Linked DNA regions of Saccharomyces cerevisiae S288C. The gene in region 1 interacts genetically with each later gene. Each region holds a gene or a part of one and is shown on either strand. Other genes may lie near its edges.

Region 1 (7,711 bases):
ACCTGCTTCTGTACACATTGCCTGGATATCGGCGCCTGACAAATCATCCTTTGTTGTTACTAAAGTTTCAAGATTAACGTCCTCACTTAAATTCATCTTGGAAGTGTGAATCCCTAAAATTTTTTTCTTAGTACTTAGATCAGGGTTTTCAAATAAGATTTTACGATCAATTCTCCCAGGCCTGATTAATGCTGGGTCAAGAGTCTCGATTTTGTTAGTGGCCATAATCACCTTCACATCCCCTCTGTCGTCGAACCCGTCCAGCTGGTTCAGCAATTCCAGCATGGTTCTCTGAATTTCTCTCTCACCACCACTATTGGAGTCATATCTTTTAGTACCAATGGCGTCTATTTCATCAATAAATACAATACTTGGTGCATTCTCACCCGCTACTTTGAAAATTTGCCTACACAACCTAGGACCATCCCCCAAATATTTTTGAATTAACTCTGAGCCAACAATCCTTAAGAATGTGGCAGATGTTTGATTTGCAACAGCCTTTGCTAGCAATGTCTTACCTGTACCGGGTGCACCATAAAGAATCACACCCTTGGGAGGTTTGATACCCATCTCTTCATACAGTTCGGGGTGTGTTAACGGTAACTCTACAGACTCTTTTATTTCTTGAATTTGAGATTCTAAGCCACCAATATCACTGTATGATTCTGTTGGCGACTTATCCATTTTCATGACCGAAACCATTGGATCGGCGTCATCCTGTAAAACACCTACGATGGACATGGTTTTATGATGCAATAACACAGAACATCCAGGCTCTAGTAACTCTTTATCGACAAAGGATAAGATAGATACATAATAATCAGGCATAGTTGGACTTGTCACTATCGCATGATCATCGTCTATAATTTCTTCAAGGGTCCCAATGCTCAATGGATTTCCACGTATTTCTTCCAATTGTTTCTTTTCCTCCTCCTGCTTCTTTTCAAAGGGTTTTAAAATTTCAGAGTTAGAGACAAATTCTTCTTCTAATAACAAATGGTCTTTAATTCGTTCCATCCTTAGAAGCTTTAACTTACAACGAGTACTTGGATATATGTTGGGTAATTTTTCAGCAGTAGCTGGACCTCCCTTTCTTTTCTTACGACCAAATTTAGATTGAACGGGAGGTTCATATTTGGGTTTCTGATTAGATCCCTTCTTCTTCTTTTTGTCTTGTCCAGATGATACACCTTGTCCCATTTTATTTTCTATTAAAAACGCTGTCTCTTCTTTAACTTGAATTGACTGTAAGCTTGACACTGATACGCATCATATTCACTAATATTCACATTAACCTTCTTTTAGGTAAAAGAAAAGAGACATTTGCCACCGGAGAAAAACCGTTAATAACTCGTTACCCGGAGTGATAAAAATATTGGGAATATAAAAATGACGACAACTGCAGGACTCGAACCTGCGCGGGCAAAGCCCAAAAGATTTCTAATCTTTCGCCTTAACCACTCGGCCAAGTTGCCTTACTAATGATGAATTATTGACTTAAGATATATCCCAAACCTAGGAATATGTAAACCTGCTGGAATATTATTTGTTAGAATAAAAATCAACTATTCTCTCTCAACTAGTAGTCTTACTACGAGTATATTATAATGTACAATGTTAGATGATGACATAAGGTATGAGAAACTGTCATAGAAGTTAGAGGAAGCTGTATTCTGTATACATAATATTATTGCCTTTATTAACAATGGAATTCCAACAATTATCACTTGTTGATAGTTAGAGGTAAAAAATAGTATTAATGAAGAAATAAGTATTGATCTTCTTATACTAAATAAGAGAGGTATATAAAACACACGCCGATTGGTCATATTAATCATGACCAATATAATAGTGATTCCGGTAGTTACTATACATTGATGTGACGACTCATATTCCTCATATATGTACCTACCATATCATGTTCAATTAATAGATCTTTAGCACAGCTTCAGTATTGTCTGAGCTTCTCGTTTAACATTCCTTCTGCAATAGGTGCAATCACACTTAAACGTATACGAGGTGTACATTAATATACGGTGTAAGCATTAGATTGTTACCATAGCAACTCATGTCACTATTAATTACTCTCGTTCCAACATCACTAAATTCCCGTAATTACCACCGCAAAAGAAAAAAGAATACAAGAAATGGAAAACTAGCGCATAATTTTGTTTCTTTCTTTTTCAAAGTTGCAGCCGCTACTATTGATTCGTTTGAAAATAGCACTTGGCGGCTAAACTACCGGCATAGAAAGTGGATCGGGCAAAATTAAAAGGGAAAGAGCGACGGGGTTACGGGACCATTACATAAAAAAAGTATCACAAAATCTATTGTATGCAAAGATATAAACCATCACATTATTGAAATAATATCGTTCTTGATACTTCCATAATCCAAGAAAAATATTTCAAGCACTTTCTTGATGTTCCTTCCTATAATTTTTCACACCATCCTAACCCTCCTGAACTTTGGTAAATATTACTGTTTACCTATTCAAGAAGACGATGATAAATCAGGAAAAGAAATTGAACAAATTTTAGACAATAACATCGAGTCATTAGGACTACTACTAAATTCGATGTCCTTATCCTCGAACTTTACGACAGGCGATCCTGAACTAGATTCGCTCTTCCAAGATGATTTAATCCCCGAGTTATATAGTGTATTAGATGGCTTCTAACACCAAGTATGTGTATTCTAAGGGTATACAAAATAAATACTGCGATACTATTCAATTCTTCAACAGCAGCTTACTAGATGTAAAATTAGTTACTTCAATTTATACTGTCACTTTTGCATATTTTCAATAGAATAAAATTACCGACGTCTGCCTATTTCTTCCATTGATGGATATATTTCTTTCTCTATCTCATTGCTTGTTACAACACCAAAAGTTTTGCTAAGAATGTGTATAGGAAACAAAAGCCAGAAGTCATTTCGTTCCAAGCCTTTAAGCGCCTAATAGTGAACTTTGCACCGCATACGTTAGCTTATGGTATGTGTGGTAATGTGTGAATTGTTTGTGATATGTAAAAAAAAAAAAAAAAAGGCCACGCTCAAGCACACAATGAAATAAAATTTAAATTTCGGGGCCATTCTACCGTTGGTTTTGCTATCTGCCGGAAAGAGGAAGTCCACAAGTGCCAAAAACTGTCAGTTACATTTTAAAAATAATCGAAATTTATTTTCTTTTGCTATCTCGGTTAAATATTGATGTGTGATTTGGCATAGTTGGCCATTGTCTTATGATTTCTGATTCTACGACGTTCCAATTTTTTATAATCAGTTCAATAATAATAATACATCGATCGGTCGGTCATATTCTTTTCTTTCTTTTTCTGTCAAGGCGTTACTGACGCGACACACAAGCGGCAGGTATAGTGACGTTTTCCGTTGAATGAAGTAATTCTAATGAACCTACGGTTCTCAATAGCATTGGCAGAGGCAGCTGATAAATGTACAGTAGTTTTTACCAGGAAATCCAGCGAGTATTACACATCCGTAGACGCGCTATGTTTTTCCTCAGGTTATCTTTCAGTAATGCTTGAGATCTCTAAAGGAAGTATACACAGTAATAGTGTGACCCAAAAGTTGTTAAAATTTCCGGAGGTAGCCATTATATACCAATTTTTGTATAAATTTACAGGATTAGAAGGTACCTAAAAAACTATAACATGTCAAGAAAGGCCTCTGAGAAGTGAAACAATACTTCCAAGCACAAATATATATTAATAGAATAATGACTGCTTGGTAGTTGAGAGATTACATGTATTGCATAGTGACTGAAAAAATTTAGTATAATTGCTATGTTGCTAGCACAGTGTTAGAATAGGGGCAGATCATTTGTATCATATAATGGGGTATGGAGAACAGGTACCAATTGGGCATATTGAATATTTCGAATATGATGTTATCTCCAAGAATGTACATCATGTCCATTGTGACATTTCATGGTTTTATATATGGGGTTTCTGCATTTTTCAACAAACATCTCTTTTATAAGCTTTGCGCTAGTTATGGTATTTATTTTTCAAATTAATAACTTACAAATAAACAAAACTTTCTCAACTAAATATTTATTTCTTCCCTGTAGACTGTAAAAATTTCGGAAGCAAAAATAAACCTCCCTGAATGTTAAAGGTGATTATTAGGTGAATAATTTGATAATTGTTGCAATTCCACTGTTTGTAAATTCTATAGTATTATGTATACAGAATACAGCTTCCTTTAACTTCGACGACAATTTCTCATAACCTTATGTCATCATCTAATACCGTACATGATAACACACTATAAGAATTGAGAAACAGTCATCAGATGAGATGGAAGCTGCAAATGCAAGCATTGAAAATATAATAAATAACGAATGATAACAAAAAATGTGGGGAAGAAAAAACAACATTACCATGTATGATTCTTGCTTCCCTCTTGTAGTATCCTCTATCTTGTAAGAGACGTTGTGATATACTGAATACCCAGTAATATTCCCGCTATCTAGAATGAAAATTGTTGGAATTGAACTCTAATATCATCTATTTAATATTATATTATCACATGCGGTGTAAGAAGATGACATAAAGATTGAGAAACAGTCATCCGATCTAATGGAAGCTGAAATGCAAGGATTGATAATGTAATAGGATAATGAATGACAACGCATAAAAGGAAAGAAGATAAAATAATAACATTATGTAGAACTATCGATTCCCTTTTGTGGATTCCTATATCCTCGAGGAGAACTTCTAGTATATTCTGTATACCAATATTATAGCCTTTAGCAACAATGGAATCCCAACAATTATCTAACAACTCACATATTTCTCAAAAATAACACAATTTTATGAAAGTTCACATAATTGAGTTAGAGCTTGAAATACTCTAACTTACAATCAAATGAACACAAATCAGAAGCTTCTATGGCCAAGTTGGTAAGGCGCCACACTAGTAATGTGGAGATCATCGGTTCAAATCCGATTGGAAGCATATTTTTATGTATTCTAAGTATGCAACGATACCGCTGTCATCGTTAGCATGATTAGTACACTGTTGTTCTTTTTCAATCTAACAACCTTAACTTCAGTTCCGGCTACAGTACATCTATTCAACGATTGGAAAAGAAAATTTTTTTATCTTTAGCTGCAACAAGAAAAAATCAATATTAAATTTTCATTTAAGTATACAGAATGTTAACAGCGTTCACAAGAAAAGAACCGTATGGAAATATAGCTAATTGTGATTTCTAAGTTTCTTTTTTATCGTAACAAAAAGTCTTCGTCCAGGATGGTATCAACTTGCTGTCTACCGATTGGGTTATCGGTGTTTTGCCTTATTGGTTCATCAAAGTCCACAAACTCTTCTGCGACGCCCTCCTCTATCATTTCTTCTCTTCTTCTTGAAACTATTTCAACGAACTTTTGGACATGAGCGTCATTAATTGCTAGACCCTTCTGTAGCTGGAAAGTTTGCCTACACATCGGACACAGTCCTTTTGAGGTTGGTGTATCAAGCCAACGGTATATACAATGATCATGGAAGTTATGATGACATAGCCCAATCACTAAAGGGCATTGATCGCCTGGAAATTTACAGCTTGGACAGGTACCGTTATAACTGGCACGACAGATACCACAGACATCCTCGTCTTCATCATTGCCAATTGGATCGTTATTGGCTGCGTCCTCATCAGATGTGCTAGGGATGTGCCATGACCAAGCAAACACACTGTGCACTTCGTTTATTTTAACTTTCATATTTTTATAATCTGTATTGCCACTTTGCTTGTTAAACTCTCCCGATATTGTACAAAGTTTTTGAAGAATGCATTATTTTTTTATCTGCAGACACGGAAGATACAAAAGTTATCTCGGCAGCTTACCCTTTATATCGAATGCAGGCGTAGACAAAAGTGCGTTGCATAACTTACCAAGGTGAAGTGCATGGACCAGCAAAGGATAGAAGTTATTGTAAACATCGAAACCATAAACTTATATATGTATATATGAAGGCATTAAGCGTTTTATGTTTTCACAACCCTTTTAAGAGATGTCTTGGACAAAAAAGCTTCTTCGTTGGTGATAGCTTCTTTATTCCAACTCCGAAACGCCTTGTGCTAGGAAAACTACGCCTTTCCAACTACACTGCATTTCACGACCTAATCATTCACGACCTCTTTATTTATATATTTATTCTTAATTTTTTCTTCTTTCCTTTTTGTAACAATTTCAATTATTGGAAGGTTTTTCACGTTGCTCAACCGAGAATTTACCATCACTCCAGACTTGTAATGATTCTAAAAGTTTCCCTTGAGTGTGCAGTTTCTTGATTTCTTCATTACCTCCTCTTGATACTCCATTAACCAAAAGGTTTGGAACAGTTCCTCTACCGGTCACCAACTTGATATATTCTTGCAGCTCTTCCCCATGTCCATGTTTGTCAAGTTCTATAATATAGTAGTTTGGGATAAACTGATACTCATTTTCAAGCAGTTCCTTCATGCCCTTGCTATATGAACAGGTGCTTTTACTAAATATTATAATCGGAGACAAGTCTAGTATGAGGGAGTATTCTTTTTGAACATTAAAAGCTTTGGTTATTCGCGACCCTTTATCGTTTTTAATGGCCGACAAACTATCATCAACCGATGCTATGGGCTGTTGGAGTCCCACCTTCTGTTTTATTTCATTAATTTCTTCGTCTACTTCAGAGCTCCCCTTATTCGTGGTAGAAGTCGGCATAGCAGCATATTCCCTGGAAGATCCTCCAGCCATATTGTCCATATTAGTACTAAATGCTTTAGAAGTTTCCTCTTTTATCTCTACCGTCAAGAAGTTCGCATTTTGCGCTACGAAAAACACTAACAACAATAATAGCGTTGTAATGCTTAAAATTCTAGCATTTCTCTTATTGGAAGGTATCATAATAAAATTGTTTCTATATTAAACCGCTAGGTTGCTAAGGTTTCGTCTTTTCTATCTTACGATAATTTGCTTAAAAGTTCATTTAGAGAATAGATAGTGATCTTTCCCAGTATAATGTTTTCCCGATTTCGCGAACGCTCCGCCTCAGGCGCCCCGGGACGCGTCATGCGCGTTCCAGAAAGTTAACTAACTGCTAGTGCATTCAATTTCTCAAGGCGTAGTATTTGGGATCTATAAAGCCTTCGACATTAAGCACTATGCTTAAAAGCGAACAGCCTGCGCCACTACTTAAGAGCGAATCTTGTGTGGAGGGATGACTAGGTCCAAAGAGGGAGAAAAGGATCTTGCGGAAAAGTCAACAACACTAATCGGTAGCTGAGTCTGTCAGTGCATCCTTACTGGCTTACTATTTTCATTCATGCTGCAAGTAGATTATCCTCTAGTTAAATTAAACGCGGATGAACTACGCCATTAAATCCATCATAAGAAACTAATTACTACTTTTAGGAAATTAGCCAACTAAAAACTGCTGAAACGCCACATTTCACATAAAACCCCACGGAGCAGTAATGGGAGATCTTAAGCTCAGCCCAGTACATATGTCCATCAGCCTTGAATAGCCACGGTGAGTTCTCGAAGCTTCCTTCCACCTAGTCCAGAATATTTCTTGGTAAATGGCTCGAAGTTTTCGTATTAAACGATGCTATCAGCGGCATCGTGAAATATTGAAATATAAAAAGTATTTACGCAACCGAAAAGGATATTAAGACAAACCCATACAATAGCCCATAAAC
Region 2 (4,797 bases), on another chromosome or scaffold:
TACTGAAGCTAATATACTGACTGATCGATTTATTAAGTTAGTGGAAGAAGTTGGAATAATCAGAATGAAAGATGAGCAGGAGGAACTTCCCACGGGAGTTAAAAATTTTCAGAATGAGAAACATGCAACTGAGTTCTTAAATGAACTAGAAATACCATCGGATCATGATTATATCAGCATTGTTGATTTCCATCTTTATAAGAGAAATATTCCCATGGCGGCTCAACTTATCAGCAAGTACATGGAAATACCTGGAACGACACAAGAAGATGCCGCATTTCTACTTGTTAAAACCAAGCTAAATATGTTGAAAGATTTTGAAAAGCTACGAAACATTTTTGCTCAAAATAAAGATTATGTAGTGCCTGAGAATAATGTGAAAATGTTGCAAGAGGCATTTGAGAGCGTTATTACTAAGTATAACACTAATTCTCCAATATACAATGAATTGCTGTTTGAGAATGTTTCGGCCTTAACAAAAAGTATTGTATTAACTGATTTTCTGGAAGAGTTCATTACTAAACAGGCTTCTGGACAGTGGATGGAATTAAACAGTGTGTCACGTTCCAGAAAGTTTAATGGCTTGTTGAACATACTTCTCGGTACAGGTGAAGAAGAAAAAGCATATAATATCTTAAAAAAACTAGAAGAAGCCTCAAAGAAATCAAAAACAGATCCAGATTTACTCTATAATCAGTTTTATTCGGAAGTTAATGCATATCATTACGCTAAATTTGTTGAATTTTATAGTCTTCAAATTCAAAATATGAAGGCACAAAATACGCCCTCATTTAGAAAAAAGGAATTTAAGCAGAAAGTGAAGTCACTTTTAAAAAGAATGCAGGAGTCAGAGGTTATCCCAAATGCTGTTTTTTTGAGAGAAATACTCAATTTTTATGATAGCATGTATGACTTTAATTCAAGTTTTGAGATCATCAATCCGCTACTTGAATCCAAACAACAGGTGAGCTCTGAGTCTTCATTATCCACCTCAAACCCTTGCCGATTTTACAACCGTCGCATCATAACAAAACCGCTGTACCACAAGATTTGGTCTGTGTATTGCCATTATTATCATGTTTTACAAAATAATTCTAGGATTTTATCGAAAAAGTCGTCCATTGTAAAGAAATTAATAAAAAGGCAGATAAAGATTCACCCAACTTGTCACCCAAGAGTATTGTTCCAAATGACGGCAGAAAATGGTGAAATTTTGCCAGACAAAACTTTTTCTAAATTAATTGTGTCCACGTTCATGAAAAGCGGGGATTTAGAAGCAATACCTGCCATATTAACGTTTCTAACGAAAAAATTTGACTTGAATATTGATTACGATTTGAGTATGTATATTCTAAAGGGTTTGAAAAGACAATATTTACGAGATATTAGTAACATCAGTAAAGATGCTTGTGAGTACAAGTTACGGAAGGCGGAGCTAATGAATAATGAGTCAATCTTAAAAAACATTCCACAGGGTACAAATCAAGAGAATACAATATCCCATTTGATCAGGGAGATTTTGATCTTTATAAAATGGAAGGAAAAAAGTGATTGTTCTACTTTCTTGATGGTAGAAGATGCTTTTAAAGAATTAGGAACAGAGTTTACTTTACTCGAAGAATTAATAGAAGATGTAAATAAGTTAAAGATAAAAGCCTAAAAAAACGGATGCATTTTATATAATTTTAGCTATACGTGTACATATTTGTAATAAAGTTAAAAGAGGAGACTGTTTAGCTTTGTATTTATTTTTTACTTAATTTCATCCATTTAGGTACTCTATTTAAAGTCTTTTTGATACTTGTAGCGTTATCAGAAGGGCCCTGTGGATTGGATTTATTTATCGTATTAACTGATGGGGTTGTCCTCGTTTCGTGTGTGATTTTTTGTGCGTCTTCCAAAAGATGAGCCTTTATTAATGGGCCATTAGAATTTGAATTTGTTTCAAAAAGCAGCATTGTTTTAGAGCCAAATTCCAGGTCATCCAGTAGCTTCTTATCGTCTTTAGCCAAGGGTTTGAAAGGATGAGATTGGTTTAACGTAAAAGGCATGTTCTCATCGATCAGGAACTGCGACACGACGTTATAAACTGTACGCATGTCTTCATTGGGTTTGAATGCTATTTGAATATGGCTTCTATCGGGGAACTTGACTCTCAGCAAACACTCAGATATAGCCTTATTTTTCTTTGGCAAGTTGTTGGCTGATTGCTCTCTAAGTCTCTTTGTCAAAATAGGACCACCCAAAGTACCAGCCTTCGATGATAACATTTTTTGGTATTTCTTGGCTTGTTCTACTGTCAATTCATAATCTTCTTCATCCTCGATTTGATCCTTGATAACTGCTAATGGCTCATCCGAGGGCAAAAACACAGAAGGTTTATGTAGTTCGTGAGGTGGTAGTGAAGCAACCGTTTCCGGGTTCGTCATCGTAGGGGGAGTTTGTTTTGGGTGAATAGCGCTATTAGCGCTAATGCCCTCAGAATGAGATGTATTATTAAAAATCAATCTAACTGACGAAGGCTCCTGAATCCCTAAATTTTCGAGAGTCAAATTCTCATCCTTAATTGTTTTGAACTCTATTATCTTGGAAAAGACCTGGATCTTAAAATCATCTCCCGCAGCGCCGCTCATCTGTCGCAAGATAGGGGCAATTGGTTGGTCAGATGGCATTTCTTTAACCACGGAATCTCTTCCTGGGATTTGAAACCGTATTTTGATCGTATTGAATGGAATATCTTCGCGGTTGGTCTTATTCGCCACCGGAAAATTACTACTTTTAGATAATTCTAAGTTGACACCCGTTGGTAAGTTTAGAAGCCTCCATGGCAAATCTAATGGCACCGGTTTATCCAAATGTATCAATGACCAGTCGTTTGACGAGGTGTGCAGTTGAAAGAATTGTATGGATTGGTGTAACACATCGTTTAGTGTTGAATTCAACGAAACTTTACATTTGAAAAGTTGGAAGTTATACTTCACGGTAACCATAGGCATTGTATTGTGCGCTTATTAGTCTGCCTTGCTATTCTTCGCAGTACGTAGATTTATCTTAGTTTTTGCATTTTTTGGTTTTCTTTTTTTTTTGCCACACATAGTACAATAAAAGAGAACTTGAATCTTTGAAGAAACGTCTAAATTAACATCGAAGATAGAAGACAGGGAAACATCTAGGATTGCAAGAAATAGTGCTGAAATTTTGTAATAAAGTTGCAAGAAATAGCATCTAGCGTTTTATAAGGCGTACATCTTTCTTGGCAAGAGTTCCAAGAGAAAAGAGGAGCAAAACAGCGGTTGAGGCGCCCGCTATCTTGAATATTATACAGTTTCTTTAAAAACGCTTGTACAACACTGCATAAACATGGACAAATTATTGAAATTGTTTCAAGATATTTCCCATATCATATTCCAATAGCGTTACTCTCTCATCGCTTATTCTGGAATCATTATTTTAATAAAGATAACTCACACGATATACGTGTACTGAGCTGACCTTTATACCTACCCTTACCTGCTTATTCCTGATAAAAATGTTCGTGCAACTAATTGTTTGATTTCTCTTGCGGCCCGGTTATTCCGGAGTTGATACTTTTTTTCTTCTGTCTTAATTACGTTTTTTTCCTCTAGACTTTTTTGATCTGGTACAATTGAAAATGTATAAATCAACTGGACCCTAAAAATAAAAAAAAAAAACGCCCATTAGAAAAGAGGATATATTGAACAAAAGATGTTGAAAGAGCCCTCAGTTCGCTTGCGGGAGGCTATTATTGAAGGCAATTTACTTATAGTGAAAAGATTATTGCGACGGAATCCGGATTTGCTAACCAACATAGACTCAGAGAACGGATGGAGTTCATTACATTACGCCTCATACCATGGAAGATACCTTATATGCGTGTATTTAATTCAGCTGGGGCACGACAAGCATGAACTAATAAAAACCTTTAAAGGAAACACCTGTGTGCATTTAGCATTAATGAAAGGGCACGAGCAAACCTTACATTTACTTTTGCAACAATTTCCGCGATTTATCAACCATCGCGGAGAGAATGGTAGAGCCCCCATCCATATAGCATGTATGAACGATTACTACCAATGTCTGAGTCTGTTGATAGGAGTTGGTGCTGATTTATGGGTAATGGACACTAATGGCGACACGCCGCTGCATGTATGCCTGGAGTATGGCAGTATAAGTTGTATGAAGATGCTTCTCAATGAAGGTGAGGTGTCCTTGGATGATAATGTCAGGGACAAGGGAAATTGGAAGCCAATAGATGTAGCACAAACGTTTGAAGTAGGTAATATATATTCAAAAGTGTTAAAAGAGGTGAAAAAGAAGGGGCCACCGTTGGGTGCAGGCAAAAAACCAAGTTCATTCAGAACTCCTATACTAAATGCGAAGGCCACTTTCGAGGACGGGCCTTCCCCAGTTTTAAGCATGAATTCGCCATATTCGCTCTATTCCAATAATAGTCCGTTGCCGGTATTACCAAGAAGGATATCAACGCATACAACAAGCGGTAACGGTGGGAATCGGAGGAGTTCTATCACAAATCCAGTATTCAACCCACGAAAACCAACCTTGTCTACGGACAGTTTTTCGTCAAGCTCAAATTCCAGCTCGAGACTAAGAGTGAACTCCATCAACGTCAAGACTCCAGTAGGTGTGTCGCCCAAGAAAGAGCTTGTATCTGAATCAGTACGACACAGTGCAACACCAACAAGTCCGCACAACAACATCGCGTTGATTAATAGATACTTGTTGCCTAACAAGAGCAATGACAACGTGAGAGGAGAC

What was found.
Region 2: mutations in APC11 (region 1) and UBX4 together harm fitness more than expected from each alone (negative genetic interaction), as found in Saccharomyces cerevisiae (2 studies listed by BioGRID).

What each region holds. Positions count from the first base shown.
Region 1 is NC_001136.10:431,536-439,246, reverse strand, and holds APC11 (anaphase promoting complex subunit 11), read right to left. Parts: upstream 5,751-7,711; coding exon 5,253-5,750; downstream 1-5,252. Other genes in the region: proteasome regulatory particle base subunit RPT2, read right to left, coding at 1-1,200; YDL007C-A (uncharacterized protein), read left to right, coding at 2,423-2,680; YDL009C (uncharacterized protein), read left to right, coding at 5,999-6,322; glutathione-disulfide reductase GRX6, read right to left, coding at 6,222-6,917. UniProt on the Saccharomyces cerevisiae protein: Probably catalytic subunit of the anaphase promoting complex/cyclosome (APC/C), a cell cycle-regulated E3 ubiquitin-protein ligase complex that controls progression through mitosis and the G1 phase of the cell cycle.
Region 2 is NC_001145.3:402,578-407,374, forward strand, and holds UBX4 (Ubx4p), read right to left. Parts: upstream 2,997-4,797; coding exon 1,746-2,996; downstream 1-1,745. Other genes in the region: SOV1 (Sov1p), read left to right, coding at 1-1,660; AVO2 (Avo2p), read left to right, coding at 3,727-4,797. UniProt on the Saccharomyces cerevisiae protein: Involved in CDC48-dependent protein degradation through the ubiquitin/proteasome pathway.